Danio rerio: one gene and its partners. The protein of the gene in region 7 purifies or fractionates together with the protein of the main gene of each other region. This does not show direct contact. Links are inferred from orthologs where the notes say so. Each region holds a gene or a part of one and is shown on either strand. Other genes may lie near its edges.

The links.
Region 1: the proteins of crk (region 7) and edc4 purify together in Homo sapiens (affinity purification with mass spectrometry; 3 studies listed by BioGRID and IntAct, with this or other methods). This does not show direct contact. The link is inferred for Danio rerio from reciprocal best matches to the Homo sapiens genes CRK and EDC4.
Region 2: the proteins of crk (region 7) and shc1 purify together in Homo sapiens (affinity purification with western blotting; 3 studies listed by BioGRID and IntAct, with this or other methods). This does not show direct contact. The link is inferred for Danio rerio from reciprocal best matches to the Homo sapiens genes CRK and SHC1.
Region 3: the proteins of crk (region 7) and eps15 purify together in Homo sapiens (affinity purification with mass spectrometry; 3 studies listed by BioGRID and IntAct, with this or other methods). This does not show direct contact. The link is inferred for Danio rerio from reciprocal best matches to the Homo sapiens genes CRK and EPS15.
Region 4: the proteins of crk (region 7) and map4k5 purify together in Homo sapiens (affinity purification with mass spectrometry; 4 studies listed by BioGRID and IntAct, with this or other methods). This does not show direct contact. The link is inferred for Danio rerio from reciprocal best matches to the Homo sapiens genes CRK and MAP4K5.
Region 5: the proteins of crk (region 7) and peak1 purify together in Homo sapiens (affinity purification with mass spectrometry; 4 studies listed by BioGRID and IntAct, with this or other methods). This does not show direct contact. The link is inferred for Danio rerio from reciprocal best matches to the Homo sapiens genes CRK and PEAK1.
Region 6: the proteins of crk (region 7) and pxna purify together in Homo sapiens (affinity purification with western blotting; 4 studies listed by BioGRID and IntAct, with this or other methods). This does not show direct contact. The link is inferred for Danio rerio from reciprocal best matches to the Homo sapiens genes CRK and PXN.

Annotation. Positions count from the first base shown.
Region 1 is NC_133193.1:23,287,089-23,291,092, reverse strand, and holds part of edc4 (enhancer of mRNA-decapping protein 4), read left to right. Parts: intron 1-106; coding exon 107-287; intron 288-374; coding exon 375-441; intron 442-538; coding exon 539-630; intron 631-903; coding exon 904-1,094; intron 1,095-1,173; coding exon 1,174-1,250; intron 1,251-1,389; coding exon 1,390-1,513; intron 1,514-3,614; coding exon 3,615-4,004. UniProt on the Homo sapiens protein: In the process of mRNA degradation, seems to play a role in mRNA decapping. Component of a complex containing DCP2 and DCP1A which functions in decapping of ARE-containing mRNAs. Promotes complex formation between DCP1A and DCP2.
Region 2 is NC_133191.1:24,101,547-24,105,550, forward strand, and holds part of shc1 (SHC-transforming protein 1), read right to left. Parts: intron 2,323-4,004; coding exon 2,265-2,322; intron 1,938-2,264; coding exon 1,821-1,937; intron 134-1,820; coding exon 1-133. UniProt on the Homo sapiens protein: Signaling adapter that couples activated growth factor receptors to signaling pathways. Participates in a signaling cascade initiated by activated KIT and KITLG/SCF.
Region 3 is NC_133183.1:18,301,476-18,305,479, forward strand, and holds part of eps15 (epidermal growth factor receptor substrate 15), read right to left. Parts: intron 3,682-4,004; coding exon 3,611-3,681; intron 3,502-3,610; coding exon 3,372-3,501; intron 2,438-3,371; coding exon 2,253-2,437; intron 1-2,252. UniProt on the Homo sapiens protein: Involved in cell growth regulation. May be involved in the regulation of mitogenic signals and control of cell proliferation. Involved in the internalization of ligand-inducible receptors of the receptor tyrosine kinase (RTK) type, in particular EGFR.
Region 4 is NC_133188.1:40,224,406-40,229,013, reverse strand, and holds the start of map4k5 (mitogen-activated protein kinase kinase kinase kinase 5), read left to right. Parts: upstream 1-1,424; 5' UTR 1,425-1,575; exon of another isoform or gene 1,576-1,602; intron 1,603-2,310; 5' UTR 2,311-2,384; coding exon 2,385-2,492; intron 2,493-4,608. UniProt on the Homo sapiens protein: May play a role in the response to environmental stress. Appears to act upstream of the JUN N-terminal pathway.
Region 5 is NC_133200.1:8,121,928-8,125,931, forward strand, and holds part of peak1 (inactive tyrosine-protein kinase PEAK1), read left to right. Parts: exon of another isoform or gene 1-1,613; intron 1,614-1,692; exon of another isoform or gene 1,693-2,280; intron 2,281-2,547; coding exon 2,548-2,765; intron 2,766-4,004. UniProt on the Homo sapiens protein: Probable catalytically inactive kinase. Scaffolding protein that regulates the cytoskeleton to control cell spreading and migration by modulating focal adhesion dynamics. Acts as a scaffold for mediating EGFR signaling.
Region 6 is NC_133180.1:7,311,841-7,316,318, reverse strand, and holds the start of pxna (paxillin a), read right to left. Parts: upstream 2,906-4,478; 5' UTR 2,850-2,905; coding exon 2,837-2,849; intron 2,724-2,836; exon of another isoform or gene 2,607-2,723; coding exon of another isoform or gene 2,566-2,606; intron 2,339-2,565; coding exon of another isoform or gene 2,232-2,338; intron 1-2,231. UniProt on the Homo sapiens protein: Cytoskeletal protein involved in actin-membrane attachment at sites of cell adhesion to the extracellular matrix (focal adhesion). Recruits other proteins such as TRIM15 to focal adhesion.
Region 7 is NC_133190.1:27,216,749-27,221,302, forward strand, and holds the start of crk (adapter molecule crk), read left to right. Parts: upstream 1-1,492; 5' UTR 1,493-1,795; coding exon 1,796-2,015; intron 2,016-3,112; coding exon 3,113-3,690; intron 3,691-4,554. UniProt on the Homo sapiens protein: Involved in cell branching and adhesion mediated by BCAR1-CRK-RAPGEF1 signaling and activation of RAP1.

The DNA of each region.
Region 1 (4,004 bases), on a different chromosome or scaffold from region 7:
CTTTTTAAATAGGATTTTTGAGTTTAGGCCAAGGTTGTTTTTAAAGTAAGCACTGGTGGTTTCTCAGCAGTTGATTCAGGTGTGTGTGTTTGTGTTTGATATGAAGGTATTGTATGTCATGGAGCTGCTGCAGGATCAAGAGAAAGGCCGTGCCAGTTTCACTGCAGTCTCAGAGTTTCTGCTCACACACCCTGTGCTCAGCTTCGGTGTTCAGGATGTTTCTCGTGCTCGCCTGCGCCATACTGAGGTCCTTCCTCCTGAAGAAGAAAGCGAAAGCATGACAGCAGGTCGGTTTTTCTCTTTGTTTTCATGTTAGCTTCATGTTCAAGTGAGTCATTCAAATGATTCTTGTGTGGTTTAATATCTTCTCACAGAAGGAAACCAGGGAACCTCTGAGTCCAGATCAGGAATTCAGATTAAACTCTACTGTGTGCATACAAAGTGAGAATTTCTTATCTAACAACAACTCTACTGACATGAAGTTTGAATTTTAAATGTGTAGCGTTTAATATGTTGTTATAACCTTCTTATGACACAGATCACTACAGGATGTGCAGATCTGGTTTCAGCCCAATCAGGGGGACTCCTCTTCACTCTTCATGCCTCAGTCTGGATCACAGGATGGGTTCAGTGAGTATGAAGTTTTATATGTTTATATTTATGTTCCCTAGATTGCCAATGCAGAATCTAAAGGGATATGACGAAAAATATTTTTACCTGCGGTTGTGGTTTGAATTTTTGAATTTTTTTTTCACACTTAAATAATTTAATTAATAAATACTTTTAATGTTAAACTTTAATATATTGCACATTTTAATACCGCAAAAAAAGTATTTAGGAGTATTTTCATGTTATTGGTTATGTATGTATTTTTAATGTTTGTTTTGTTTTTAAATTTTCCAGGTTTTTCTGACCCGCTGGCTGATCTGAATGTGGAGGCAATGAGCTCTGACAAGGAGTCTGGCGATAGTGGTTCACAAAATGACCTGAGTAAGATTCTGCCTCTTCCAAGTCCCGCTGACTTCATGAGTCCAGCCCCATCAGCCTTGCCCAAACTCATGACCCCGGATGCCTTCATGACACCCAGCGCCTCTGTAAGCTTTTACTATCTTAGCGTCATCCTTTAGGTTCCTTCAGTGATGAATACATTCATCATGGTTCTTGTTTTTTCAGATGCCCGCTTCTCCTGGCAGCAGTGCTAGCAGTCTGACCATTGTCACGGCCATGAGCAGCTCAGACAGCGGTGCAAGGTGGTGTATTTAACTAAATGTTTTCATAGTAAAACTTGATTAAACCTTTTAAATCTCATATTAACTTCACAATGTGCAAAAAATGTCATACCGTTTGTCATCTCCTGCAATCAAAATGCAATATTTTTTTTTCTTTTAGAGGTGGAGATGATCTGACTCAGAGCCCTAAAATGTCTGTTGAATGTGTCAACAGCAGTTTCGCCAATGCAGGCAGTCCAAGATCCAACTCCATCCTCATCTCAGGCCTTGGGGAAAACATCCAGGTACCAATGGAAATGTCATTCTCAATGTTGCAATATAGCGTGCCTCAGTAGGTCTTATCTTTGTTTCAGTGTAAGAAAGATGTTGCTTTACACCAGGTGGTGAGATCTACTTTTCTGCAGAGTTCCGCTTCAAGCCTGGTCACACAACTAAGTTAACTAAGTAGGATTTAAAGGAGCATTTGGTAAATAAAGAGAGGTGCATTTAATCAGGGTTGCAGCTAAACCAGGCGTGTCCAAACTACGGCCCGCGGGCCATCTGCGGCCCGCAATCAGTTTTGTGGTGGCCCGCGAGGCTTTTTATAAATAATAATAGAATCTGGCCCGCTATACAAAAATGAACGTAATTCAATAAATAACCACCGGGTGTCGCTATTACATGCATTCAATTAAGCAGTAGTTCTTGTTATGATCTATCTATCTATCTATCTATCTGTCTGTCTGTCTGTCTGTCTATCTACACACAGTTGAAGTCTGAATTATTAGCCCCTCTTTGATTTATTTCTTCTTTTTTAAATATTTCCCAAATGATGTTTAACAGAGCAAGGACATTTTTACAGTATGTCTGATAATATTTTTTCTTTTGGAGAAAGACTTTTGTTTTATTTCGACTAGAATAAAAAGCGGTTTAAATTTTTTATGAACCATTTTAAGGTCAAAATTATTAGCCCCTTAAGTCTTCAGAACAAACCATTGTTATAAAATAACTTGCCTAATACCTTAACTTGACTAGTTAACTTTATTAACCTAGTTAAGCCTTTAAATGTCACTTTAAGCTGTATAAAAGTGTCTTAAAAATATCTAGTCAAATATTATTTACTGTCATCATGGCAAAGATAAAATAAATCAGTTATTAGAAATGAGTTACTAAAACTAATATGTTTAGAAATGTGTGGAAAAAAATCTCTCCGTTAAACAGAAATTGGGGACAAAATAAATGGGGGCTAATAATTTAGGGGGGCTAACAATTCTGACTTCAACTGTATATATATATATATATATATATATATATATATATATATATATATATATATATATATATATATATATATATATATATATATATATATATATATATATATATATATATATGCGTGTCTGTGTGATGTATGTAAAATTTGGCCCGCGACAACGTTTGTTTTTTTGCATCTGGCCCTCGGCCCAAAAAGTTTGGACACCCCTGAGCTAAACTCTGCAGAAAGGTAGATCTCCAGGAACAGGGTTAAGAACCACTACTTTACACACTCCCTGTAGTACCAACACAGTACTTTATAAAAGTTTGGGTATGGTTTTTGAAATGTATGTCGTTATTAATCAAGGATGCATTCGATTTATAGTTCACTCAAAAGGAAAAGGTGGCTCACCATTTACCAAAACCTTTGGGTTTGATTTCCAGCTTTCTTTAAAATATTTTTTGTTGTGTTTCACAGGAAAAAAAATCTTAATCTGCATTTAGTGCCAGTAGAGGCTGAGTAAACTTAAATACAAAAGATTGCTTGAATTATCCCTTTAATTCAGTTAGTGATAATAGAGTTTATTGTTGTTACAAAAAAGTGGCATGTTTAGTAATGTTTTTACTTTTAAATAAGAGCTTTGTTATTTCATAAGCAAGTGTTGTCCAAGTGTACCATTGAATAATAATATTATATTTACTGAACATTTACTAAAAGGAGCAACAGAAACCTAACTGTTAAACACATTTTTATTATGCCCTATTTTTTACAATTTTTATCTGTAAAGATTTTAAAGAAATATTTTTAAATGTGAATCCTTCAGAAAGGCTAACTTTTTTTACCAAAAGTAAACCTAAACTGTTTTAGATTTTTAGCTTATGTATTATTTATTGCTGATGATGTCTTTTTGTTGTTGTAATTAAATTAATAATAATATACATATATAATCGCTGAATATATGTGACATTTAATGAATGTTGTAAATTTGATCTGGTTTTTTTATGGAATAGTCAGAGAAGCTGATCAGACTTCCTCACTCACAATATAAACTGTCAATCCTTCAAATTTGATTCCAAATCATTTACCAATTCTTCTGTTTATCTGGCATCCCTCTATCTCCACTTTTCCATTTAAAATCCCAATCTGGTTAGGCTTTCGCTCCCCCACTGGTTCTTTCTTCATCCCTCCTTCAAGAAGCCTCTCTGCTCTGCGAAGCTGCTCCTTATTCTCACCGACTCCCCCTCCCTTATTTCCCATCTCCTCCTCCGCAGGTTTCCCCTCCAAACCCTCCTCTCTCTCTGGATCTCCAGGCAATAGATCCCATGGTTGTCCCACAGGCGTCTCCAACAAGAGCTCGCTCACCGGATGTCATCTCATCTGCCTCTACTGCAATGTCCCAGGACATACCTGAGATTGCCTCCGAGACGCTGCAGAGGGGACTGTCCGGTGCCAATGCTGATTCGGGCCCCATCCTGCACTCTGACAGCATGGCATCAGCCGCATCAATTCTCCACCTGCTATCTCCAAGGGCCCGGAGCAGC
Region 2 (4,004 bases), on a different chromosome or scaffold from region 7:
TCTCCATCCTTGGTCAGGAGTCTTTCGGCCTGCCTGCGGCTCAGAGGCCCGTGAAACCAGGGCTCGTTCTGCAGCTGCTCTGCCAGAGGAAGTGCCACTGCACCCGACACAACGAGCGCTGCATCAAACGGTTCTGAAGAAAGAAAGCAGAGCATCACTGGATGGTTGGAGCATTTTTACTCTGTGAATCTACATCTGCAGTATTACTGAACTAATTTACTAAGTATAGTAAACCAAAGTATTGTTTTCAAAATAGGAAAAAACACAGCATACTACCCTGCTTTACCACATTCAATTGTAAATAAGCTATCATCAAGCGTAAAATTTATTAGGTCCATACTTTATTCATTAAATTATGCTTTATGGTTTTTATTGAATGTTTGGTTTTGTAAAATGATAGAAACCTGTACAAAAATGTGGGGTCAATACGATAAAAAACAAACAAAACAGACAATGAAGATTTTTTCATTGTTACAAAGAATTTGTCAAATTTGTTTCACAAGTTTTTGTCTGCTTGTTTTTTTTAGTATAACATGGCTTCAACAAATTAATACTGTTACTAGCAGCAGGGGGCACTCAACCCTAATGCCCCTGTGAAGTTAAGGGGACACTATACTTTTATGCTGTGTTCACACCAGACATGGAAGAAGCATCAAGTGGGAATGATTTACATGTTAAGTCAAGGCAAAGGCGTGAATAGACATCCTGCACCGTGATATGCATGAATGGCATGGTGCGAAGCAAATGACTCAATACATGTGAATGGCACGGCGCAAATTGAATGTTTTGCGCGTTTGACTCGCTTTTCGCATGAATCATTCAAGTTCAAAAATCTAAACTTCAGCGGACATTCGTGCCGCGTTTACCAATCAGGAGCTTGCTCTTGTGTGGACGTGATTATGACGTAGCGCCTGTTGTTGGTGTCCCGGGGGAAAATTCCCTGTCTACACCAACAACAGTTCATCAACTGGGCTTGGCTCAGTCAGAAGCACCGCTAAATGCTTCCATCATCTAGTTTAAGTTTCTAGAGGAGTTTATGAGCTCACAGAGCTGGGTGCACCTCTGAAAGGATCTAGTGAACTGCTCCAAACGTATCAACGCTGTTTTTCAGCCTTCATAAAGCACATAAACACTGTTATTTTCTCAATAAAATCTATGTTAGACATTTAGCAATGAAGCTACAGTCACCGGGCAGACAGAAGCCCTGCCCACCACGTGAATTAGCGTCTGTTCTGAAGTGATTTTCAAGCGGATGAATCAGATTTGACGCGCTAATGAATCGGATTTGATGCGCGAATTAAGCAGGGTTTGATGCGTGAAAGAAGCGATTTTGACGCACGAAAACAGCAAGTAAACTCAAATGTTCATGCGTCTATTTACACGCGAATAGCACAATATATCCACGCTTTCCTCGTCTGGTGTGAACACAGTGAAGTGAGCGCTGTCTTTGGGATGAGACGTTAAACTGAAGTCCTCACTCTCTGAGGTCATTAAAAATCTCATGGCACTTCTCGTTTTTATATATATATATATATATATATATATATATATATATATATATATATATATATATATATCCTATATAGACATATATATGTCCTGCTGAATAAAAAATGTATGTATACAATTATGTTTGGCTTTTAACACATTATTTAAAATATGTGGCTAAGAAATAGCCAATAACTTTTTTTTTTTTGGTGGAGCCAGTGAAAATTTTGGCAGGGCAAGTAAAAATCTGAACCACTGACCTGATCGGGAACCCTGCACAATAAATAAATCATTAAAATATTACAAAAAGTCACCAAGCATCCATCACTCACTCATGTCAAACGCGTCTCTATGAGCATTTCCATTGGCTGCTGCTGATGCTGGGAGGCGGGGTTTATCCACATTAACGTATGAGGGGTCGTCAAACAAGCCTCCATCCTTAACACCCACTAAAGAAAAAAAGAACACAAAAGAAAAACAAAGGTGAAGTTAAAGTGAGTTAACCTTCAGGTGAGTGCACTTAAGCGGTGCCGTTCTATTGTCAGCAATGCCGCTGATCCAGAAGGCACCTCTCAAAGGAGCTGTGTAATAGATTTGGGCAGCGTCCAACAAAGAGCAACGAACAGTAGCAGAAAAAGCGCTGACTCACTCTGCACAATGACAGTCTCGGCCGACAGGGGAATTAAAGCAGGAGAAGTGTGACTATATGACAGACAAATACTGTGTGGCAGCATGAAATGACTAGGACAGGGATTATTGTTGTGTGTAAATCTGACCTGGTAGTGGAGGAAGAGGCTGCTTGTGAATGTCGTTCTGGCTCGGCTGTCCATAGGGCTGTGGAGATACAGTGCAGTGGGATGGTGACATATTTATTCAGTGTGGGTGTTTCATGAATGAACAAAGCAATTTAATTCATTTTTATACACTGAATCATGCTTCTTGTACCCTGAAGTCTCTCTTTGGAAGCCAAAGTTTAAGTAAGTTGAGTTTTAGTTTCTAGTTTGGGAATAATTTGGGGCATTTTTAGACTTTTAAGAGCCATCAACACTGATTTCAGTATGTTCAAACAACAAATGAACATATTTTTACTAATATTTGATTTAATTAAACTCGGTACACCTTGAATATATGGCTGTAATATGCTAAATTTAATTTCCTAAATCTATTATTTTGATAATGTTTAATGTATTAAGACAGTAATACAACAAGATTACATTTATAAACTGTTGAATGTATGTATGTTCTATCCTCTGGGTCTTAAAGGGATAGTTCAACCAAGACAAAATTATGTCATCCTTTACTCATTATTCACATGTCCCAAACCTCTTTCTTTCTTCTGTTGAACACAAAAGAAATATATTTTGAAAAATGTTGAAAACCTGCTACCATTGATTTCCATAGTATTTGCTTTTTCTACTATGGAAGTCAATAGTTACAAGTTATTAATATTTTTCAAAATATCTTCTTTTGTACTCAAATAAATGCCTGAAACGACTTGAGGGTGAGGTAATACACTGAATAAAATATTCATTGACTTTACTTATACAATTTTTTTTAAGGTAAGTGGTTGCAAACAATTCATTTGGTCTGAATTTTAACAAACAAATAAAATAATCAAATTAAACATTACTACATTCAATTTGTTTGTTTAAATTCAACCCATATAAATAGTTTGCAACAATATTTTTTTCTCTGTGTATTTTATTAAAATGTACAATTTTAGGACGGCAGAATAGCCTAGTGGTTAGTGTGTCGACATATGGTGCTGTAGCATGTCAGGTCGTCCCGAGTTCGAATCCCAGCTTAAGGACATTTCCCTACCAAAAAGAGTAAAGCAGTGGCGCAGTAGGTAGTGCTGTCACCTCACAGCAAGAAAGTCGCTGGTTCGAGCCTCGGCTGGGTCAGTTGACGTTTCTGTGTGGAGTTTGCATGTTCCCCCACAGTCCAAAGACATGCGGTACAGGTGAATTGGATAGGCTAAATTGTCCATAGAGTATGAGTATGTATGGATGTTTCCCAGAGATGGGTTGCAGCTGAAAGAACATTAGCTGCCTAAAACATGTGCTGGATAAGTTGGCTGTTCATTCTGCTGTGGCGACCCCAGAATAATAAAGGGACTAAGCTGAAAAGAAAATTAATGAATGAATGTACAATTTTGGTTGAACAATCCCTTTAACAAGGTCATTGATTGTGATTTCTTTTTAGTAACACTTTAGTTTAGGTTAATTAGCTAGCTAGCTAGTTTGTTAGTTAGTTAGTTACTGGCGAAACGTTTCCTTCAATGTGCAAAAGGAGGCCAACAAATAAGAACACACTGGACCAGCAAAGCAATCATAAGACGTTGAGGATGACATTTTAATAGAACCACAAAGAGGTTAAATGTGTAAAAATCAATTCGATATTTTTAAAACAAATAAACACAATCAAGCCTTTGAGAATTGCAGATTAACCACCATTTTCATACCAGAAAGACAAAAATGATCAAACATGTTAATGCCAGTGAAAGAAATCAGGAC
Region 3 (4,004 bases), on a different chromosome or scaffold from region 7:
ACTTTTAATAACTAACTTTTGTCTTTGCTTTGATGGCATAACTTAGTATTTTTCTAGCTATTTTATGCTTGTATTCATCTTAAAGTGCATTTTAAAGGGAATATATAACCATATATACATACATACATACATGTGTGTGTATGTATATACAGTTAAAGTCAGAATTATTAGCCCCCCTTTGACTTTTTTTTTCTTTTGAAAATATTTCCCAAATGATGTTTAACAGAGGATAGAAATTTTCACGGTATGTCTGATAATATTTTTTCTTCTTGAGAAAGTCTTATTTGTTTTATTTTGGCTAGAATAAAAGCATATTTAAATATTTTGAAAACCATTTTTAAGGTAAAAATTATTAGCGCCTTTAAGATATATTTTGTTTCGATAGTCTACAGAACAAATCATCATCATATAATAACTTGCCTAATTACCCTAAGCTGCCTAGTAAACCTAATTAACCTAGTTAAGCTTTTAAATGTCACTTTGAGTTGTATAGAAATTTCTTGAAGAGTATCTAGTCAAATATTATTTACTGTCATCAGGGCAAAGATAAAATAAATCAGTTATTAGAAATGAATTATTAAAACTATTATGATAGAACTGTGTTGAAAAAAATCTTCCCTCCGTTAAACAGAAATTGGGGGAAAAATAAACAGGGGGGCTAATAATTCTAACTTCAACTGTATATGTATATAAAATCCAGTTGAAATTGAAGTAATAACAACCCTAATAACTGATTTATTTTATCTTTGTCATGATGACAGTAAATAATACTTTACTAGATATTTTTCAAGACACTTCTATACAGCTTAAAGTGACATTTAAAGGCTTAATTAGTTTTAATAGGCAGGTTAGTGTAATTAGGCAAGTTACTGTATACCGGTGGTTTGTTCTGTAGACTACCGAAAAAATATAACTTAAAAGAGAATTATCTACTGTAGAACTGAGCGTTCAAAAAAACCTGTCTCAAGTATAATGATGACATACAAAAAATCCCACAAAGATCAACATGCAAGAACTGTTACATTTAGAAACATAAAAGGAAAAATTACTAATGTGCTACAGCTACTGACACAGAAGGATGAGAGATACAAGATGTGTGCCATGATGCAATCCATAGAGCTTCACAGCTAACATCAGCTCATAAGCCTGCAGACACATGAGACTTGACGTAAAATAAAAAGTAATTTAACACCAATTTAAGAAATATGCTTAATGATTACTCATTTCATTGCTGATGTTTTAGTCTGATGTTTTATTCGTCTGATGCACTCATATGTCTAGGCCTGGATTGCTCATACGGCCCATCATGAACATGCAGGTATTTCACACAGAAGTAAAGGTGTAGACAACAATGGATCGAGAGAGTAATCACTACAGTTAGCTGGAAAGCACTTCAACACAAATCATGAAAACAAAAAGAAGTCATCTCTCTCTTGAAGTCTCTTCATTAGCAAAGAGTTGCGCCTTCATAAGGCTTAATTTATTGGATGCATCAACGTATAAAGAGAGCTCACATGGATAAGTTTTAATTTAAAAAATAATAATAATAATACAGAAAGGAGCCAACAAGTGCTGTTATAAGCTTAGCTGATTATTGAATTTGGCATATATAAAAACAAAACATACTGTATGTCTTCTAAAAATAAAAAAAGGTGGTGCATGAATGATGGGATGCAGATGGAACCAAGAACCAATGTGTGGGAAGTAGCAGCCCAACAGAACAAGTGGACACAGTGATTAGTTCGTGCAGTGCAAGGCAAGGCAAATCAGTGAATAAAAGTACGACAGGGCAATAAACGTGCAAGCCTCAACCAATGGTGGAGAACATGACAAAAGAGCACAGGGGGATGAATTGAAAACAGCCAATAGCAAGCAGCCCCACCTCTCCTTCCACAGCCAGTGAGAACTTATATGCGTGATGTTAGGAATACTGCGAAGTCATAACAATAGTAGGTTTAAATAACACTGGGGTTTTGTTTTAGTAGAAGCGTTAGCCTTGATTCAGTTTCGCTATTGGATAAATATTTTCATTACAAGCTCATATGTATTTACAAAAAATAAAATAAAAAACAGGAACAGTGACAGTTTTGTGGCTTTCACATAAAGCAAGAGTCGTCAAAATATTGGACGAGGAGCCTTCCGGGAAAACAAACGGGCTATGAGGGGTCGAGAGGTCAAGGCTGCTGCATTGCGCAGGTGAAATGTCAGGGTCACTACTGGGGGTCAGGAGAGGGAGAGGGGGAGGAGCTCACTTTGTCAAAGCTGGCGAATCGGTTGGGGTCGCACGGGGCTTGGTGGGGTGAGGAAGGGGCGAAGGGGTCTGGTACCGAGTCTTTAGCGGGAAGGGAGGAGAACTCTGCTGATCCCTGGGCCTTGAACAGACCGCGGCGGTGAAATGACTCGGACGACTCCGATCGGTGGATGTTGGACCGCTTACCTTTAACACATACACATAGAGACAACACAGCACTCAAATACAGGTGACGTTATGGAGCCTTGTGGTCCATTATTTTCTGAACTGAGCAATTAAGTCAATCTGGAATCTGGTTTGTTCAGATTAGACATGCACCAATCAACTGGCAAAAAATCAAATGAAGGAATTGGGTTTTTTTTGTATTTGTTTTTAGTTTTTTTTAGAAACTTTTGATCGACAACCTGCTGATTTGCGCTTTAAATAAGCCAGTCTCTGTTATGACTTGCATAAAATCGGCACTGCAATGATTTTAATGTTACAAGCCAAGCACATTAACATTAACAAACTGAACAAATATTTTCTTTGCAATACTTGATACTGCAATACTTAAATGACTGTGTGATGTTTTTAACATTTAATTAAATGCTGTACTAATATGACGTGTTTGGACGGTTTCTATCACAACTCATATTTAGGTGATTATTTGAGGCTTGATATGTTGAAAACAATGATAAGGATGTTTATTATTTTCATTTGTAAATACCTCTAAAAAGGCTATAGTAAACATCTATTTTTAATGTACTATGGGCAATACCTATTCCACCAACAGGCAGAATGAATTTACTGTTATTATGCATTTCTACTGTTCCTTATACATTTATGTTTTTAAGTAAAATCATTTCACAAAGCTAAAGTAAAATAGTATAATTTTACTTGCAATGCAATAAATTGAAAGTAAACAAATATATTTACAAAAAAACTAATATATATATATATTATATATAAGGAATAAAATGAGGATTTGGAGGAAAAAAAATGTAATAAAAATGAATAATGTAATAATTTGCATCAGAAAATTTGTTTGCAAAAGAAAAAAAAGATAAAAAAGAAAGAAATGGTCAACCCGAATCAGCCATGAAATAAAGGTCAGTGCATCAATAGATAAAATCCATTTTACCTGGGGGTGGAGGTGGAGGTCTGGTTGGGGTTCCTGTTTTGGGTGGTAATGCTGGCGGTACATCTGACTGGGTGTCCTCCTTGAATAAATTCTTGTTTGTACTGGAGTCAAATGGATCATTGCCATTAGACTGAAAGGCAAAATAAAAAGTTCAGTGGCTGCAGTCGGGTCCATTTAAATCATATGGTTGGCAACTCAGCTGAAATACTGGACTTCTGTTTTACGTTCAAGATCCTTACCTTTGCTAAGCTGCTGAAGTCTGCAAAACCTCCGCCAAAAGTCTCATTGCCAAATACTGCAGCAAAAGGGTCTGAAACAAAGTAAGTTACGCCAGTTTTTTATAGCTGATGAACTGAACTGACCACACGTAGGCAGCTGAAAACATTCGAAAACATCAGTCTTTTTTACATGAATAAATAATAAATGCTTTAAATATATGCTTAAAGAACACAACCAGTTGAGTTATTACTACAGTTCTTTAAAGTTAAAATTAGCAAATGTCCAGCCAATCACATTCATCTGCTAATATTTTTACATATATCTAATATAAAAACTGGATCATGTTGCAAATTGTAATGTACATTTCAATGTCATAAAATTGCTTTTATGACAGATTTTTATTTTAATTTATAT
Region 4 (4,608 bases), on a different chromosome or scaffold from region 7:
GTTTGTACCTTTTGAAAAGGTACCACCCCAGTGACAGCTCACGTACCTTTATTTCTGAGAGTGTGTGTACCTCCTGTAGTAAACAGTTAAGGAAAAAAATATTTGCTTTTTTACCTGAATGCTTTTGATTGTGAACATTATTGTACAAGCACATATGATTCCCAGCCAAGAAACTTACTGTCATAACTGAAACATAAAAGTCTCTACAGTTTATGTAATGTCAACAATAGCCAGTGTTTTGAAACCCTGTGAACTTTGATTAACTGCATGTACCTTGTGAAGTGAAAACAAGTGTTATTCTTTTACAGAATCATTTCATATCAAGTCATATTTCCAGTGTTTTGGTAAAGTTAGTGTGTGCAGAGAAAGATGTGTTTTATTTTTACTATTTCCTAAATGATGTTTTACAGAGCAAGAAAATTTTCACAGTATGTCTGATAATATTTTTTTTCTTCTGGACAAAGTATTTTTTTAAATAGTTTTATTTCGGCTAGAATAAAAGCAGTTTTTAATTTTTTGAACATCATTTTAGGGTCAAAATTATTACCCCCTTTAAGCTGTATTTTTTTTCGATAGCCTACAGAACAAACCATCATTATACAATAACTTACCTAATTACCCTAACCTGCCTAGTTAACCTAATTAACCTAGTAAAGCCTTTAAGCTGTATAGAAGTGTCCTGAAAAATATCTAGTAAAATATTATTTACTGGCATCATGGCAAAGATATTAAAAAAATCAGTTATTAGAAATGAGTTATTAAAACTATTATTTTTAAAAATGTGTTAAAAAAATCTCTAACAGAAATTGAGAAAAAAATTAACGGGGACTAATAATTCATGGGGGCTAAAAATTCTGACTTGAACTGTATGTCTCTAAGAATATCCAGCAGATGGCGCTACAGGTATGTTGTAAAATAAATGAATAAACAAATAAATAAATAAATATACAAATAAAAATAGGGAAAATGTTTAAAAGTTAAATAAAGCAAAAGTTAAAGAAGGGCCATGTGTTTTAATTTACTAAAAAAAAGTTTAGGTTTACCTGCGGTTTTCATGCTCTGGTTTAAACTTTAAATTAAAATAAAATGAATAAACATTAAAAATATAATAAAAACGCACAGATAACATTGGTATATTTATTTGTCATTATTTGTTTTGCACTATAACTACTGACAGTAACTATTGTCTAGTAAGCTTAAGGCAACTAATACATCAGTACAATATCACTATTATATCCCAGGCAAATAATGCACCATGAAACAGAGTGAATTAAAGCGAAAGAGATTTTTCTGTAATGCTTTAACATTCTTTTAAACATCAGATTTGTTTAATTTCTTTCAGTGGACGTGCGTATGAGTGTGCATGTGTGTGTGTGTTTTCTGTACGTGTGTGCGAATGTGTGTCTTGCTGTCTGTCTGCGTGTGTGTGTGTGTGTGCGGGTTCTGATCTGGCTGAAGTTTGCTCTTGTCTCTGTTCCTGTTTGGATGATTATTTCGACGCATAATGAACTCCAGCAGTTAGGAAACCGTCTATATCTTCTCGAGTTCAGAAGACAAAGATTAATCGCACAAATGGTGAAGTTTACCTCAAAGTTTTTGAATGTAAGTGATTTATGTCGTGTTGCAGTTTGACGCTGTTTATAGCATTAGCGTTAGCATCGGATGAACTTAAGCAAATCACAATTAAAAGTACCCGCAAACCGAATGGACCAAAAGTAACGTAAAGATGGATTGTGCTTTTTGAACGTCTTTGTTCTTGTATATTTTGTCTGTAAAATGTAGTTTAAAGGTTAAGTGATTATGTGAGATTAGTTAGCAGAAGTTAGCTGAGTTAGCCTCTCACACGGAGATTCAGAGAGAAAATGAACTTTCAGTAAGTTAAGTTGTCCATTTTACTAAAAAAGAGAAAGTTTGTTTTAACATAACACACTTTTCTGACAGTTGGCACTTCTTGACATCCGTCAATAGTTTTGTCGTGACAATAAAAAACATCTCAACATTTTCCTGTTACTTAAAATAAGTTCTATTGAAATAAATATGCACACATTAAAACTAAACCCATTAATACCAGCATTAATGATCGAATATATATTAGACAGTTTAAAAACTTTCATTTAAAAGTCTTTTATTTACTTATTAATTGATTGATTGATTGATTTGTCCATGTTTAGCCTCTGCAATATCACACCTAGGATGAAATGTCAATCGAAACGCCTTGTCTGTCTATCAGATCTTCAGTCTGTCTGGTCTGACTTAATAAAGTGTGCTGTTATTAATCACATGATGTTCTGTTTTTTTTTTTCTTTTCAGGACAATGTGGACTACAGGTCTGTTGTAAAACTGAATCTGGGTCATTAAAGTAGTAAATCCTCCAGTCCGACAGCATGGATCCGCTGGCCCGGTCCGGAGGGGAGATTCAGCGCAGAAACCCACAGCATGACTTTGAGCTGATCCAGAGAGTTGGCAGTGGAACATATGGAGACGTGTATAAGGTAACTGAACAGTTTCAGACCCTCATCTCCACTTTAGCAGCAATATATACATGCATACATGCTTGCATATATAGTGTCAACATTTGAAGTAGGGCTGCACAGTATGTCGTTTCAGCCTCAACACCGCGATGAGTGCATCTGTAATAGTCCCATCGCAAAGATATGCAATGTTGAATCTGACCATGAGCTTCAGAATTGTATCTAAGCACTGTATATATAAGCAAATTTCTATGATTTTTTTCTTACTTAGAATTTTTGTCTGGTTCTAGTCCATTTATCTACATTTCAAAGTGAAAACAAGATTATTTTACTTACTCCACTGGTATAGTTTTAATTTTTTTAGGGAAAAACTTAAATTTCACATTTTTTCTGATAGTAAAAACTAAATATATTTACTTGCTCTTGGACTAGAAACAGGACAAAGTAAGAAAAGCATTTTTTGATTAAATTTCTGTACCTGAATACTGTTAGACTCCCCCAAAAAACTATCAAATTGAGCTATTCAAACTATCTGTTGAAACTGTATGCATATTGCAATGTTTATCACAGAAAATGTAAATATGGCAATATCAGATTTTTCAGATATCGTGCAGCCCTACTTTAAAGGGTATCAAAAAGTTTTTCAAAAATGTCCTAAATAAACTCTGGGCCTTATAGAATATTACCAGGACAACTTTGATGAAAGGATTTGATATACATCAAATGTTGACTAATAGGGATGCTCCGATCAGGATTTTTGCAGCCAATACTGAGTACCGATTCCTTGTCAGGGTGAACAGCCGATACAGAGTACCAATTCTGATCCTTCAAGCTTTATAATGTATAAAGCACACTTTCCCTCTAAGTATGATACTTAAGTGGAGATCTCTCCTTACCTAAGAAAATAAATTAAGGATGCTGCATATAATACCTTAAACATGTCTCTTGTAACCATTTAGGCCAAAATGTCATGTCATAGCCAAAAGTAGCTTTACAGAAAACATTTGATAGCACAGATTAAAAATAGTAAGAAAAATGACTAACAAAGCAATTTGGAAACCACATGTCTCAATCAGGAAAAAGTCTGGAGCGCATATTTGATGCATAAGAAGTTAAAATGCACACCTATAAATTGATTACTTCACTACTAAAAGGAAATAGGCCTATAAGCTACTGTTTATTGCAGTAAGTAAAGTAATCTTGCAATATTGTCTAAAACACAGAATCTTCTGTTCTTATATGTAAAAAGGCCTAAATACATACAAGGTCATTCAAATATTTTGCTCATCTCCAACTAACACAAACACTACGGAACAAACGCAATCGGTTCATGAGATCGGCCAGATTAGCAAGTACCAATCGAGTCATTACATGTCATTATCGCCCGATACTAGTCTCCGGCCAATAGATAAGGGCATCCGTATTGACTATATAAAAATACATACATGGTTTCCACTATACACTATACATTTATTTCTCCATGGCTGGCTCATTTAAAACATTCAGTTGTTGTTGTTGTTTTTTTTAATAGCGGGTTATAATTGCACCAAAACTTATTAAAAGGAAAGGAATTATAACAGCACAAACTTTTCTGTAACCGTAGTAGTGCTGTGTGTTATCCGTTTAACCCTTTAAGGTTACATGCTGACTGACTGACTGATGTGTGAGGCCAGCAAACATGACGTAGCTTTCAGTTAAGATGAACAGTTTCCATAATTATACTTTATAATAAAAAATAAAAATAAACTTTATAAAGGTATATGGCTCTGCATACAATGACTTTATATTGCTGGAGTTAATAGCTGTTTCACTTTACTTCAGGACGCATTAATGCCATTCTGTAGGTCTATTGAAGACATTTATAAATATTCCTAGCAAATCTAATAACTGTTGACATACTTGCTACATAAACGCACCAAATCGCACTTCAGCAGCATTTATTTAAGAGCTGAGAAGAAAATCCTTGAGGAAACACTGCATACATACATGTTTATGTGTATGTATTTATGTATGTAATAAAAGTTTGTATTTTTCTATTAATTGTCTTTAGTTTTAGCCGGTTACAGTTTGTGAATATGATTATGTGCTTGAAGTATTTTCTTGTTGAGTTTCATCAAGAGTAAACAGCTTTAGGCTC
Region 5 (4,004 bases), on a different chromosome or scaffold from region 7:
TTTAAGTGTTACTTCAGATTTCTGAGTGTGTCATAATTTAATGGAACAGAATGTTTTTATATGTCCGGACATGCTCTCGCTGCAGATGATTCCTCCCTTTTAGCGTTCCTGGATGGATTATTAAGAGAGTGAGGTTGGCACTGGGATACAGAAAGGATAGTTTGGAATCTCAGCAAAGGATTGTTGTATTTGATCAGTCCAGTATGGATGGATGCCACCATGCTAATTAAAATTTCATCTTGCTAAAAAACTAAAGCACTCTCTCACACAGTTACTGTTTATAAGTCATTGTTCATCTCATTATTTACTCTCTCTAATGTTGATCCAAAGTTGAAGTATGCTTTTGGTAGAGGTACAGGCTCAGGACCCGATCCAGATTTCTTGCGGCGCAGGAATACATTTCAGAATAAAACGTGGTAGCTAACAATGTAGCGTTTCTGAGTCCCAATGTTATTTCTGGAACAGCATATCTGTGTTTTCCTCATTTTTATTGAGCACCATTAGACACTCAAAACCTTTTTTTTTTTTTTTTTGTCTGTGCACGTATCATCTGCATAATGGTCCTAAGTGCGGACTTTACCATGGAAGAGCAAAATGATTTAGCTTGCATTAGAAAATGGTCATTTACTTTTAAGAAGCCCACATTCGGCAAGTCTTATGTATGGGAGTCTTTTTCATGCGTTATATGAGGCAATTGGAAAAAAATTATGTTTTTTTTGGAAGACTGGAATCTCAGGCGGCACTCATGTCTCATCGCAAAGGGGCAAACAAAACTGACATTTAGCCTACAATCCTTGCACAACCACCTTGCACAACCGTTTTATGTTATCTCTCACTTTTAGTAGTACCCAATTTAAACGTGAAATTTTTGAAACCAGATCTAAATTTAGCGGGAACGGTTGGGTCAGGTAGAAAAATTATTTCAAGCGGGCAGCAAGTGAACAAAGGCTGAATATACTGCGGGATCGGTCGGGTGTGGAATAAAACCTGGCGGGACCGGGACTAAAAAATGAGTAGCGGGTGAACAAAAGGCTAAATATACGACGCGAACAGTCAAGTGCGGAATAAAACCTGGCGGGAGCGGGACTAAAAGAATGAGTAGCGGGTGAACAAAAAAAGGCTGAATGTACGGCGGGAACGGTCAAGTGCGGAAAAAACCTGGCGGTAGCGGGACAAAAAAAATGAGTAGTGGGTGAACAAAGGCTGAATATACTGTGGGAGCGGTCAAGTGCGGAATAAAACCTGGAGGGAGGGCGACTAAAGAAAATGAGTAGCGGGTGAACAAAGGCTGAATATACTGTGGCAGCGGTCAGGTGCGGAATAAAACCTGGCGGTAGCGGGACTAAAGAAAATGAGTAGCGGGTGAACAAAGGCTGAATATACGGCGCGAGCGGTCGGGTGCAGAATATAACCTGGCTGTAGTGGAACTAAAAAAAATGAGTAGCGGGTAAACAAAGACAATATACGGCAAGATCGGTCGGTTGCAGAATAAAACCTTAAGGGAGCGGGACTAAAAGAATGAGTAGCGGGTGAACAAAGGCTGAATATACGGCGCCAGCGGTCGGGTGCAGAATATAACCTGGCTGTAGTGGAACTAAAATAATGAGTAGCGGGTAAACAAAGACAATATACGGCGGGATCAGTCGGGTGCGGAATAAAACCTGGCGGGAGCGGGACTAAAAGAATGAGTAGCGGGTGAACAAAGGCTGAATATACGACGCGAACAGTCAAGTGCGGAATAAAACCTGGCGGTAGCGGGACTAAAGAAAATGAGTAGCGGGTGAACAAAGGCTGAATATACGGTGAGAGCGATCAAGTGCGGAATAAAACCTGGCAGTAGCAGGACTAAAAAAGATGAGTCACGTGGCATTCATTTCATTAGTGGACACAAAAGTAGACATGTAACTTAAGCTTTTAAGCTTAAAAAATGGTGTAAAATGCCATAAAACTAGTATAGGAGTCATCTATATGTGCAGTCTTGTAGAAATTATGTATTGAAAACTTTAATTTGAGAAATGGAAATTTAACACTGACTAATATTTTAGTTTGTTTATCACATATCATATCACAATAATTACGTGATTTCGAAAGAAAACTTGAAAGCCTATAAATTAAAGCCTAAAAACATATATAAAGTCAGTAAACAGCTTCCCCTTTAAAATGACTGAAGTTCTAAATTTAGCTTTTTAAATACTAAATCCTACTGGTTTATTGGCATCTTTGAGCTGGAATAAAAGATTTTTCACCCCAAGAATCAAAATATATTAAAAAAAAAAAAAACAACTGAAGAACACCACACTACAGCTATTATGATAACAGTGGGAATCCCTGTCAGAATGATTTTCCCCCTCCAATGAATGATAAAAACATTGACAACCAATCAGAATGTAGCTCTCTTTAAAGAGCTTTACAGAGCATTTAAAGCTGCAGTCAACAGAACTACAGTACATGCTTATATAAAGCACTGTTATCATGTGTTCAGTATAGTTTTTGCTTTTGGTTTGAGCAAGAATTCTCAAACAATTGTTTTATTTCTTGTTTGTGCAGTCAACTTCCAGTTCAGGAGACTGAGATCTCCTCTGCCACATCTCTTCCTGCTAAGCTGGAGCTGTCGCCCCTGCGCGAGCCGCCCGCGTCCTGTCCGCCCCCTGCGTCGCCCACCTCAAACAGCAGCAGGCAGGCAGATCCAGAGGAAGAGGGAATCGCTCACACCATCTCACGCTCTCCTGAGTCCAACAGCTGCAGGGCCACGTACACCAACCTGGGTAAGGCAAACACTCTCACACACACACACACACACACACACACACACACACACACACACATTTGATGGTTCACTTTATACACTCTGTCCATTTATTTGTGTGTGCATTGTAAGGTTCTGACCTGATTTGGCTGGCTCACGCTGATAAATTTGGGTTGTCATGGCAGCAGTGTGCGCGAGAGCATTTCTAGACCCATAAATAAGATCTGTTCTCTCTATCTTTCAATTTGAAGTCATTTAGTTGATTGAGTCGCCCTGAAGTTGTGCCGTGAAGTGAGGTATGGTTGTCACTGAATTGCTTTGCTCCCTTTTTAAGTTATTGTTGGGTTTATTTGTAAGATTTGTTGCACTGGATGGTTTATGTAGACTTGCTCGCAGCAAAATTAAATTGCAACTCTTGTATGTCATGGTGGAAAAATATTTATATTAAGGCTGGTAACTGATATGATGTGATGGTTGGGCATGGGTATCGTTAAGGTTTTAACGATATTACTACTTTTATCGATACCACTTATTGGTTCGGTACTTTAACGGTTCAAATATCGGTTATTTTTGTACTGTTTTTTTATTTAAAAAAAACAAACTGAATTAATCAAAATTGACAACATTTTATTATTAAGTTTTTAATGTAAAATAATGCAAAACCAATAAATGTAAAACAAATAAATCTTAAATTTTCCTGTTAAAGAATGGACAATGGTTTGAAGGAAAATTAGTTTTTAACCTTTTTTCCTCTGGAGAAAAATCCACATGTTTGCCTTTTCTTTTCTGGCAGAAGTCGGGATCTTTCTTAGTTTCTTGTGCGCCCTGCAGTTGAAAATACCCTCCTTTAGTTACAAAATGCAGTTAAATAATCAAATAATGCTTTCAATCTTTCTTTAACACATTCACATAAATGAGTCACCAGTGTTTGGGGAGTTAACAATGTAAAAATAAGCCGTTTTCTTTTATAATTTCTTAATAAGATTAGTGGTCCCAATTTATATTAAGTGGCCTTAACTAATATGTACTTACACAGGAATTACTAGTTTGTTACAATGTTATTATTGTGTAAATGCATGTATTTACTATGTACTTATGCTTGATTAAATACCTGTATGTAAATGCATCTGTAATTAACTGGTCACACTTTACAATAAGGTTCACTAGTTAATGTTAATTAATGCATTTACTAACATGAACAAACAATGAACAATACATTTACTACTGTATTTGTTCATGTTAGTTAACGTTAGTTAAT
Region 6 (4,478 bases), on a different chromosome or scaffold from region 7:
TGAAGTATGGTGTTAGCCAGTTTGCTGCTTCTCAGCCACGTGCAGCATAGGAAACCATGACAAAACGCACACCTGGAATTGATTTTCTCTGGAGTTTTTTTATATTTATGAGTGGATTTCTTCATTCATGTGCTGTCTATTCATGGGACAAAGCATCATATGTGATTTAGCTCTAGCATGTTATATTAGTTCTGTGCACTACATGGCAGACTGTTGAATATATTCTTAGATCAAAATAATACATTTTACCATGATTTACAGAACACATACTAAAATGTAATTCAGTGTAAGAACATTTATATGGAGACAGATTAGACTCAATACTATTTCACGCAAAAGACACGATGTACACATGCGTAGCCAAATTCACGTGCATAAAACCAAATTCACGTGCGTAAAATGTTTATTTATATTCACAAAAAAAAAATTCACGTGCTCAAAATAAAAATACATTTTCATAAAATACGTTTCACAAATGCAAAACACCATTTGCAAATGTATAAGAACCTAACGTGCTGACCACTGGACCACAATGGCGCTGCTGTAATCATGTGGCCGGAATGATGCTTATCATTACCCTGCAGGATACGTCTTGCTCATGCGGCTACGAGACAATACATAAGAAGAGCGGAGCTGCGATAAAATGGATTAAAAGAGTGAGGATATGGTCAAATAAATTAATAAATTCAAAAAAAAGTGCGACTGCTGCTTTCTCCCTTCGCCATGCTGGAGAGGAACAGTCTGCGCAAAAGAAGCGTAGAGTTGGTTTCATTGAATACAGCTCTCATCTGATTGGCTGAAAGGTACGAGTAGTCCTGACTCTGGCAGGAAAGTCTCAAAAATACACACACACGTATCCAGGGGGAGTCGTACGTGAAAGAGGATTTGCACATTCTCATTCAGGATGAACTCACATGTTTTAAACATTCAAAACTTTTTGCACACTCTTATAAATTTGCAAATGGTGTTTTGCATTTGTGAAACATATTTTATGAAAACTTATTTTTATTTTGTGCACGTGAATTTTTTTTGTGAATATGAATAAATATTTTACGCACGTGAATTTGGCTACGCATGTGTACATCGTGTCTTTTGCGTGAATTTCTTTTGAGACTTATCTGATTCCATACATTTACAGCATATAAACCCAAATATCTAGTCAGGCATATTTAGGAAAAGACTCATTTGATGACATAATACAATCCCCATCCCTACTCATTAACATGTTTGACCAAATCCTAATACTTAGCGAGCATTTCTAGCAGGTTTTCGTCATTAATATGCATTAATACTGGTCATTATGGTGACACTTGGAGGGACTATTTTTTCTGAGGTGGTACTTGGTGAAAAAAGTTGAAGAATCACTGGTCTTCTACATTTTTTATACTGCAAATGTCCCATGCGTAACAATAGAATTGCTGTACTGTGATTTTTGGCATTACATAAGAAAGTCCTGGTGAATTTCTGATCTTGGTCCCACATTAACGTCTAAACAAATGCCTGGTCGTCACAGATAAACGAAAATAACTTTACTAAACAGCGCGTCACTCTTAACCCAGCAGCCTCAAGGCACTAATATTGAGATTAGTTAGATTAGGCAGTGCGGCTCATTTTCTCGTCGCCCCAGGCAACAAGTCAACAAGCCACAACATCAAAAGCTGTAGATAACGGGATTGACTACCTAACAGTAAGACAGTACTAGTTAAATGCTAACAACGACTGGTGTTGACACAGAAAGGCATTGGAAACCATGTTTACTGAGCATTTCACAAAAGACATGAAAACAAAAGCACAATATAAGACTAAAAGCTAGGTTTATGGAGGGATAATTCACGCAGAAATGAAAAATGTGTCATCGTTTACTCATTTCTTCCCTCTAATAAACTCAAAATAAGATATTTTGAAGAGAGCTGGACGCCTGTAACCATTGACGTTCATTGTATTCGTCTTTCCTACTATGAAAGTCAACGGTTAATTTCAGCATTCTTCAAAATATCTTCCTAAAAGAAGAAAGAAACTCATAAAAAGATTTTGAACCACTTGATGGTGAGAAAACTGTACATGTTCAACTTTAAGTTTCAGCAGATAGTAAGTGAACTTTGGAGGACGGCTGTGAATTGACACTTCACTGTTTTGTTGACACATTTCAGAAGTTACAAGCAGACAGGAACTATATACAAGCATATTAACTAGCATCAACTTCTGTATTTAGGGGTAAATATAGAGCTTACTGTGAGTTTGCGCTGGTGAGGATCTGATATTAATCACGTATCTTCGTGTTACAAGAGCAGCTGTGAAGAGCATTGAGGTAAAGTTGGTTTTATATTTGCTCATTCTCCTTAAAAATATGAATCCAGAAAAGTATTATTAGCAAAATCTCAATCATATTAGCAGCCAATGAGTATCAAAGCACAATAGTGTTCACACACAGTTAATGTAATGGTGCTAATGTTGTTTTGAAGTCATAAGTTACTTAAATGCGATTTCAGATTGAGTGCCCAAAGTAGCTTCACAAGTTTTCACTGTTAAAAAAACGAACGAATACGTGAATAACACCAACTTCACCTCAATGTGAACAATGAATCAGGCTGACTCCGACAACCCATTGAGAAGCTACAGAAAACAGAGTAAAATACGCGAATAAACCCAGGTTTAAACCGCAGCAGAGAGTATGTTTTTCAGCGTGTTGCTGCAGTCAAGCATCGGCGCGCGATGACGTTGGCAACAGGAGCGCGCTCCATCCGCGTCTTCAGCCACATTTTAGCGCTCTAGCGTCGCGTCAAACTTCCCATTTCACAATTTTCCGATGTCAAAGGTTAAAGGAGATCACGCTTACCTAAATCGTCCATGTTTCGCGGTCGTTCTGGGTCGATAACGGGAGCAGGAGCCCGCGATTTACCGCTCGACTCTGTTTCGTGGCTCGTCTGTGCTCCGCAATTGCACGCGGAGAAGTTTTCAACAAGTGCACGCGCAGCGCGAGCACGTGAGGAGTCGGACACGCGCCCGCGTACTGGCCTGTTGACCATTAGCAAACTATTAAAAAAATAAAAAATTAAAGTAAAATAAATTAAAACCGTACATGTTGAATGAACACATAATAACAATTTCATTAAAATATATACTTGGTGTTCGTAGCTAAACAATTATGTAGGACGATAAATTTCTGTAAAAACAAAAAATGCTAATAATAAATAAATAAATGTATAATCCATACATTCCTGCAAAAATAAATAATTAATAGCGCGGGCAGGTAAATGTTTAACAAAACTACAAGAATGTTAGGGGAATAAGAAGATGCTAAACTGAAAGTTAGAATGCAGGAATTCACGGCTTTATTTACTCATTTATTTATATATTTGCATATTTCATTTGTGCAAGAATTTATTAATTTATTTACTCATTTATATATTTGTGTATTTATTAATAATTTTTGCAGGTTTCGTCCTCCATAAATAATACTTTTATTTATGTAAAAATGTATTTAAAATAATACATATGTTCATTTCCTATATAATATAATTAATTTACTGAGTAATATAACTTAACTTAATTTACAAATATTCCTAATGGATGATAATATTTAATTTAATAGTAAAGAAATAGTCAAACAGTAAATAACATTATTTGTGTGTGTGTGTGTGTGTGTGTGTGTGTGTGTACATATATGTTACAGTTATATATATATATATATATATATATATATATATATATATATATATATATATATATATATATATATATATATATATATATATACACAACAACATATTATATCAATAAAATATCTCTTTTTATAAATATTACATATAACTTTTTATTAAATAATACATATAAATATAATATGATTTTATTGATTTTTATATGATTTATATGATTTTTATTTCAAAATATATTGTGTAACAAATTACAAAAAATAACAAAGGACGCTGATATTTAATTAAAAAAATCTAACTTTAAATGTTAATAAAATGATGGCTATATGCAATCATAATTGTTTGTGTAAGCACAAATTAATAAATAAAAAAGATGATGTTAATTGATTTAATGATAAAATGTATATTAATATTTTAGGCCCACTATAATAATACATATAATAACCTACAAAACATACATAATGTATTATAAAAGGTATACATGTTGCATTTTACTTTTATCAATATTTTTATAATTAAAACATATATAGCATATATATTATTTCATTAATTAATATGAAGTACTAATGAAAGTCAAAAAGATTTAAACAAAAATAAATAATAAATAAATAAAAATAACACTGAAGTGGGTTTGTCCATAATTTTTTAAAATATGAATAAATATATTGTAAATGTGTGTGTGTGTGTGTGTGTGTGTGTGTGTGTGTGTGTGTGTGTGTGTGTGTGTGTGTGTGTGTGTATTTCCTTCTCTTTCCCATGTGTGAATCTCATCTGGACAGCAATAATACTCCATGAAATGTTACTATATATCATCCATGCCATATA
Region 7 (4,554 bases):
GTTCAAATATGCCTGTAAATTACAGTGTATTGATTAGATTTGTCTTCATGAAAATTAGACATTTTAAAATTAGATTTGTCTTAATTAATTACCCATTATTTTGAATTCACTTAAGTGAAAATACTATAGTGCGTTAACATCATCATAATAGCTTATAGCAGTAGTCTCAAACTCAATTCTGGAGGGCCACAGCTCTGCATAGTTTAGCTTTATCCACCTCCAACTCACACCTGCTTCATAGTCACTGGTAGTCTTGAACACCTTGATTGGTTGAATCAGCTGTGTTTGATTAGGGTTGGAGCAAAACTATGCAGAGTGGTGGCCATCCAGGATTCCAGTTTGAGAACTATGGCTTATATGATCAGTGTTTTTCTAAGCTCCATCTTCAAATTACGGTTTATTAGCCTACATGAATGGTTTAGTAGCCTTTGTAAAGGTGACCAATATGTTTCAATTTATCATGTCATTTCATGGTCAACAGGTAGCCTCAAAATCTCCTGCTGTGTTTCAAAGCCATATCTTTTAGTCAAGTTGTGCCATTACGGAATATATATCGATAAAAGTGCACTGAAGAGCTGTGAACAATGACTTGGTCAGTATTTCTGTACTCCCACAATGATTAATGAACCAAGGGAAATGCAAGGAATGACAAACCGGAACAGCAATATGTGTATGATTATTTGTAAACAAATAAAAATGTATTTGACTGTTGTTGGTATCAAAACCAATAAACCTTTAACAAATATACACTTCATTTATGCGTTACGCGACGAATAATGTTGGTCGTCAATATGTTTGATTAGACCATTTGAGAGCTGAATTGTAACTGGGTGAGACTGGTAGAAAGACTACAAACTATTAGTAATCGATGTCGACATCTAGTGGTTGCTAATTTTGTGGACTCGCTTGTAAAGGACAGTGTTTACGCACTTCCGTTTTTTTTTTTTTTTGTAATAATTTACAGCACTTTCGACCTTTAAATAAATTAGCGAATATGGTTGATGAAAATCATATTTAACTTATGTTTTAAAGGGATGTCTAATTTGTTAAATTTAGTAGACTAACTGTTAGACCACTTACACTATGTTTGTTTGCTCAGGTAATTTCGGGGTCAGCCCGCTTGGACTGGTTAACAACCTGTTTGGACCAGCCACTTGAACCTCTCACTAGAATTTAACAAAACTGTTATGTTTAGCGGAATTTGGGTTAATACAAAGATTAATGCGATGCAAATTGATCAGTATAACTAATGTAAATTCAGAAGTTATAATTGTGTTCATATGAACAATTCCGAAATACGATTACATAAATTAAAAATAAAAAAAACGGTTGGTGTTAAAAAAAGATTGAAACTCCATAATGATACAAGATAAGGCCTTACTTTCAATATTGACCGCACCAATATGACCACCAACAGACACCATCCGCGTCGGCGGCTATTGCATCACTTCCGGGAAATAAGGTCAAAAATTGTTTCCCTTGTCCGCCATTTGAAATATTTGAACTTCCTTGTGACAACTTCCAATGTACGTTTTGGTTTACACTGGACAATTATCAGAAGTTCTGGGTGAATAGCCGCGGTTTTTGCGTCCCATGCACGTTGGAATACCGACGTCAATTGTTTTGTTAATCGATTGGGCCAAAAAGCGTTGAAAAGTGTGCGAATGCTGCGCGTATTCGAAACGTGTTCAACAACGGAACGCGGTAAAGTTTTTGCATGAGTTGAACGCTGCTTGCGGATAAGGAGAGGCGAAGGGAAGGCCTGTGAAGCCTGGGCTTTTTTCTAGCGCTAGTCATGGCCGGAAATTTTGATTCGGAGGACCGAGGGAGCTGGTATTGGGGGAGATTAAGCCGGCAAGAGGCGGTTTCGCTGCTCCAAGGGCAGAGGCATGGAGTGTTCCTGGTGCGGGACTCGATCACTATTCCCGGGGACTACGTGCTGTCTGTGTCGGAGAACTCCAAAGTCTCTCATTACATAATAAACAGCATCAGCAGCAATCGCCAGTCAGGACCAGGTAAGCGTTTGAACAAATGTATTTAAATACTATTAACGACAGGACGGATAAATACTGCTTTAGCAAAGCGCTTAGCAGCTCGATGAAACTTCTATACTACGAATAGTTGTGCATATTCAGTCTAAAATCTCGCGTCATTCTGGGGTGCTGTGTAACCAGGGGTTCGGTCTTGTACACTACGGGCCCCAAATATCATTCTCGGGTGTAAAATGATTTGTATGCTTTCGTGTATGATGCCAGATTTGTTATGTGAAAATTGTATACAAATTCGTTTTATAATATAATATAGGAAACGTTTAGTTGCAATATGTGTCATTATTTAACATAGTTGTTCAATTGTTCACACGTTAGCAGATTCTTTGAAGTATCTTTATTTTATCTACTTACATTTTGCTTCGTTTGAATCGTGTCTTATAATTTTGTGTTCTTGGTTTGTTTATTTGTTTGTTTATATTAATTTGTGCATATTTATCTTGACTAAATGCTCGTTTATTTCAGTTTCACCCTTATTTTAAAACCGCTGCTTCATTACATTCTTACTCCGACATACATGTCTCACCTTATCAACTTTTTATATAACAAATACAATCTTATTAGTTATGTGTCTGTCATTCATTTGAATTACACGCATTATTATAGGTCATGTCAATCACTTATAACATAAACTCACTTTTTTTGTTTGCAGAAATGATCAGCAATATTTAATTTCCAATCTTTTTTGCTGCTTTTCCCATAGGTTGAACCCATAAAATGTTACATTGTTATACTATGTAGTTTTTGCAACACTTATCAGATTTTCATGGATTAGAGAGAGTTCAGTTTAAATGTACACCCCGATAAAAGTTCTAAACCTATATTAGTTTCTCTTTTCTGTTGAACACAAAAGAAGATATTTTGAAGAATGTTGTAATTAAGTAGCCATTTACACCTCCATATTAGAAATAAAATGCCTACCAAATTCCTATGTTCAGTAACTTTTTTTCGTGTTAACATTATGATGAGTAATTGTGAAAAAATTGAATTTTTTGCTGAGCTACCCCTTTAAATTTAAGCAGATCTTGATTATCCATCCATCATCTCATAATGTCATCCCGCAGGGCTTGCTCCTCCTCGGTTCCGGATTGGAGATCAGGAATTTGATGCCTTACCTGCCCTGTTGGAGTTCTACAAAATCCACTACCTGGACACCACCACTCTCATTGAGCCCATTAGCAAATCCAAGCACTCGTCTTTCATCAGCGTCAATGCGGGGACAGGAGGAGCTCCTCCGAGGCTAGAAGAGGAGTACGTCAGAGCTCTCTTCGACTTTCCCGGCAACGACGACGAGGACCTTCCATTTCGAAAGGGTGATGTTCTTCGAGTGCTGGAGAAGCCAGAGGAGCAATGGTGGAATGCTCAGAATTCAGAAGGCCGTGTTGGCATGATCCCTGTGCCCTATGTGGAGAAGTACCGACCTGCCTCACCGACATCAGGTGCACCTGGCGTATCAGTCAGTGGGTCCGGTGCTCACGGCAACTCTGACGGCCACAGCACTCAGTCTCCACCTCTGCTTGGTGAACCGGGCCAATACGCCCAGCCCACATCCTTACCCAATCTACAGAATGGCCCAGTTTATGCCAGGGCGATTCAGAAGAGAGTCCCCAATGCCTATGATAAGACAGCTCTTGCTTTGGAGGTAACAAATGTAAACTTTTCTGAGATATTAATAAATATAAAAATGAAAATATTGCATCATTTATGAACCTTCAAGTTATTCTAGATGTATCCAGTAGTCAGCATTTGAAGTGGATCAAAACCTTCCATCTTAAGTTGTACTAAAATAGTCCTATTTAACAACATCCATTCTTGCCATGATTGTCAGAACTTTATTTGATCTACTTTAAATGTGGACTACTATATGTCCTATTCCTGACAAACACTAATGTGACTTAGCTTTGAATTGCAAGTAAATGTACACAATGTTTGCTTCAAAAAAGCACATTAATGTGTTATAAGTCATTCATACTGCTCAGTGGGTTATTTAATATTTTCTGAAGCAAAGTGTTAAGTTTTTGAAAGAAAAAAAATGCTTATTTAAAAGATTATAAGCTCATATAAACTGGAGCTGCACAATTATTTAAACACAATGTTCATGCACGTCGTTTTGTGAGTAAAAGCCAGCTCTGTGGTCAGTAGTATATCTCCAGCTTTCAAATGGAGCACCATTTACTAGTTACTCATAGTTCATGATCTGTTTGGTAAATGCAGCTACATCTAAAATCAAATAAAGATACCACATTTAACATGTTTTAACTTCCAATTTGTCTTTGAGATAATGTGGCTATTTCTGTTCAATAACTTTGTGTTCACACCAAAGGCGCAAGAGCATCAGAGTTCTCTCTGGCTTTCACAGTTCCAGCGGCGAGAGCGTCAAAAATCGATACATTAACCCCGTATTTAAAGGAGCCGTTGCAGCATATCAGCAAATTAGTTACGTTCCCACATAAAAATGTGTATTTTAGTAAGAAAATGTTGCGCAGCTTTTTAGTAAATTCATTTA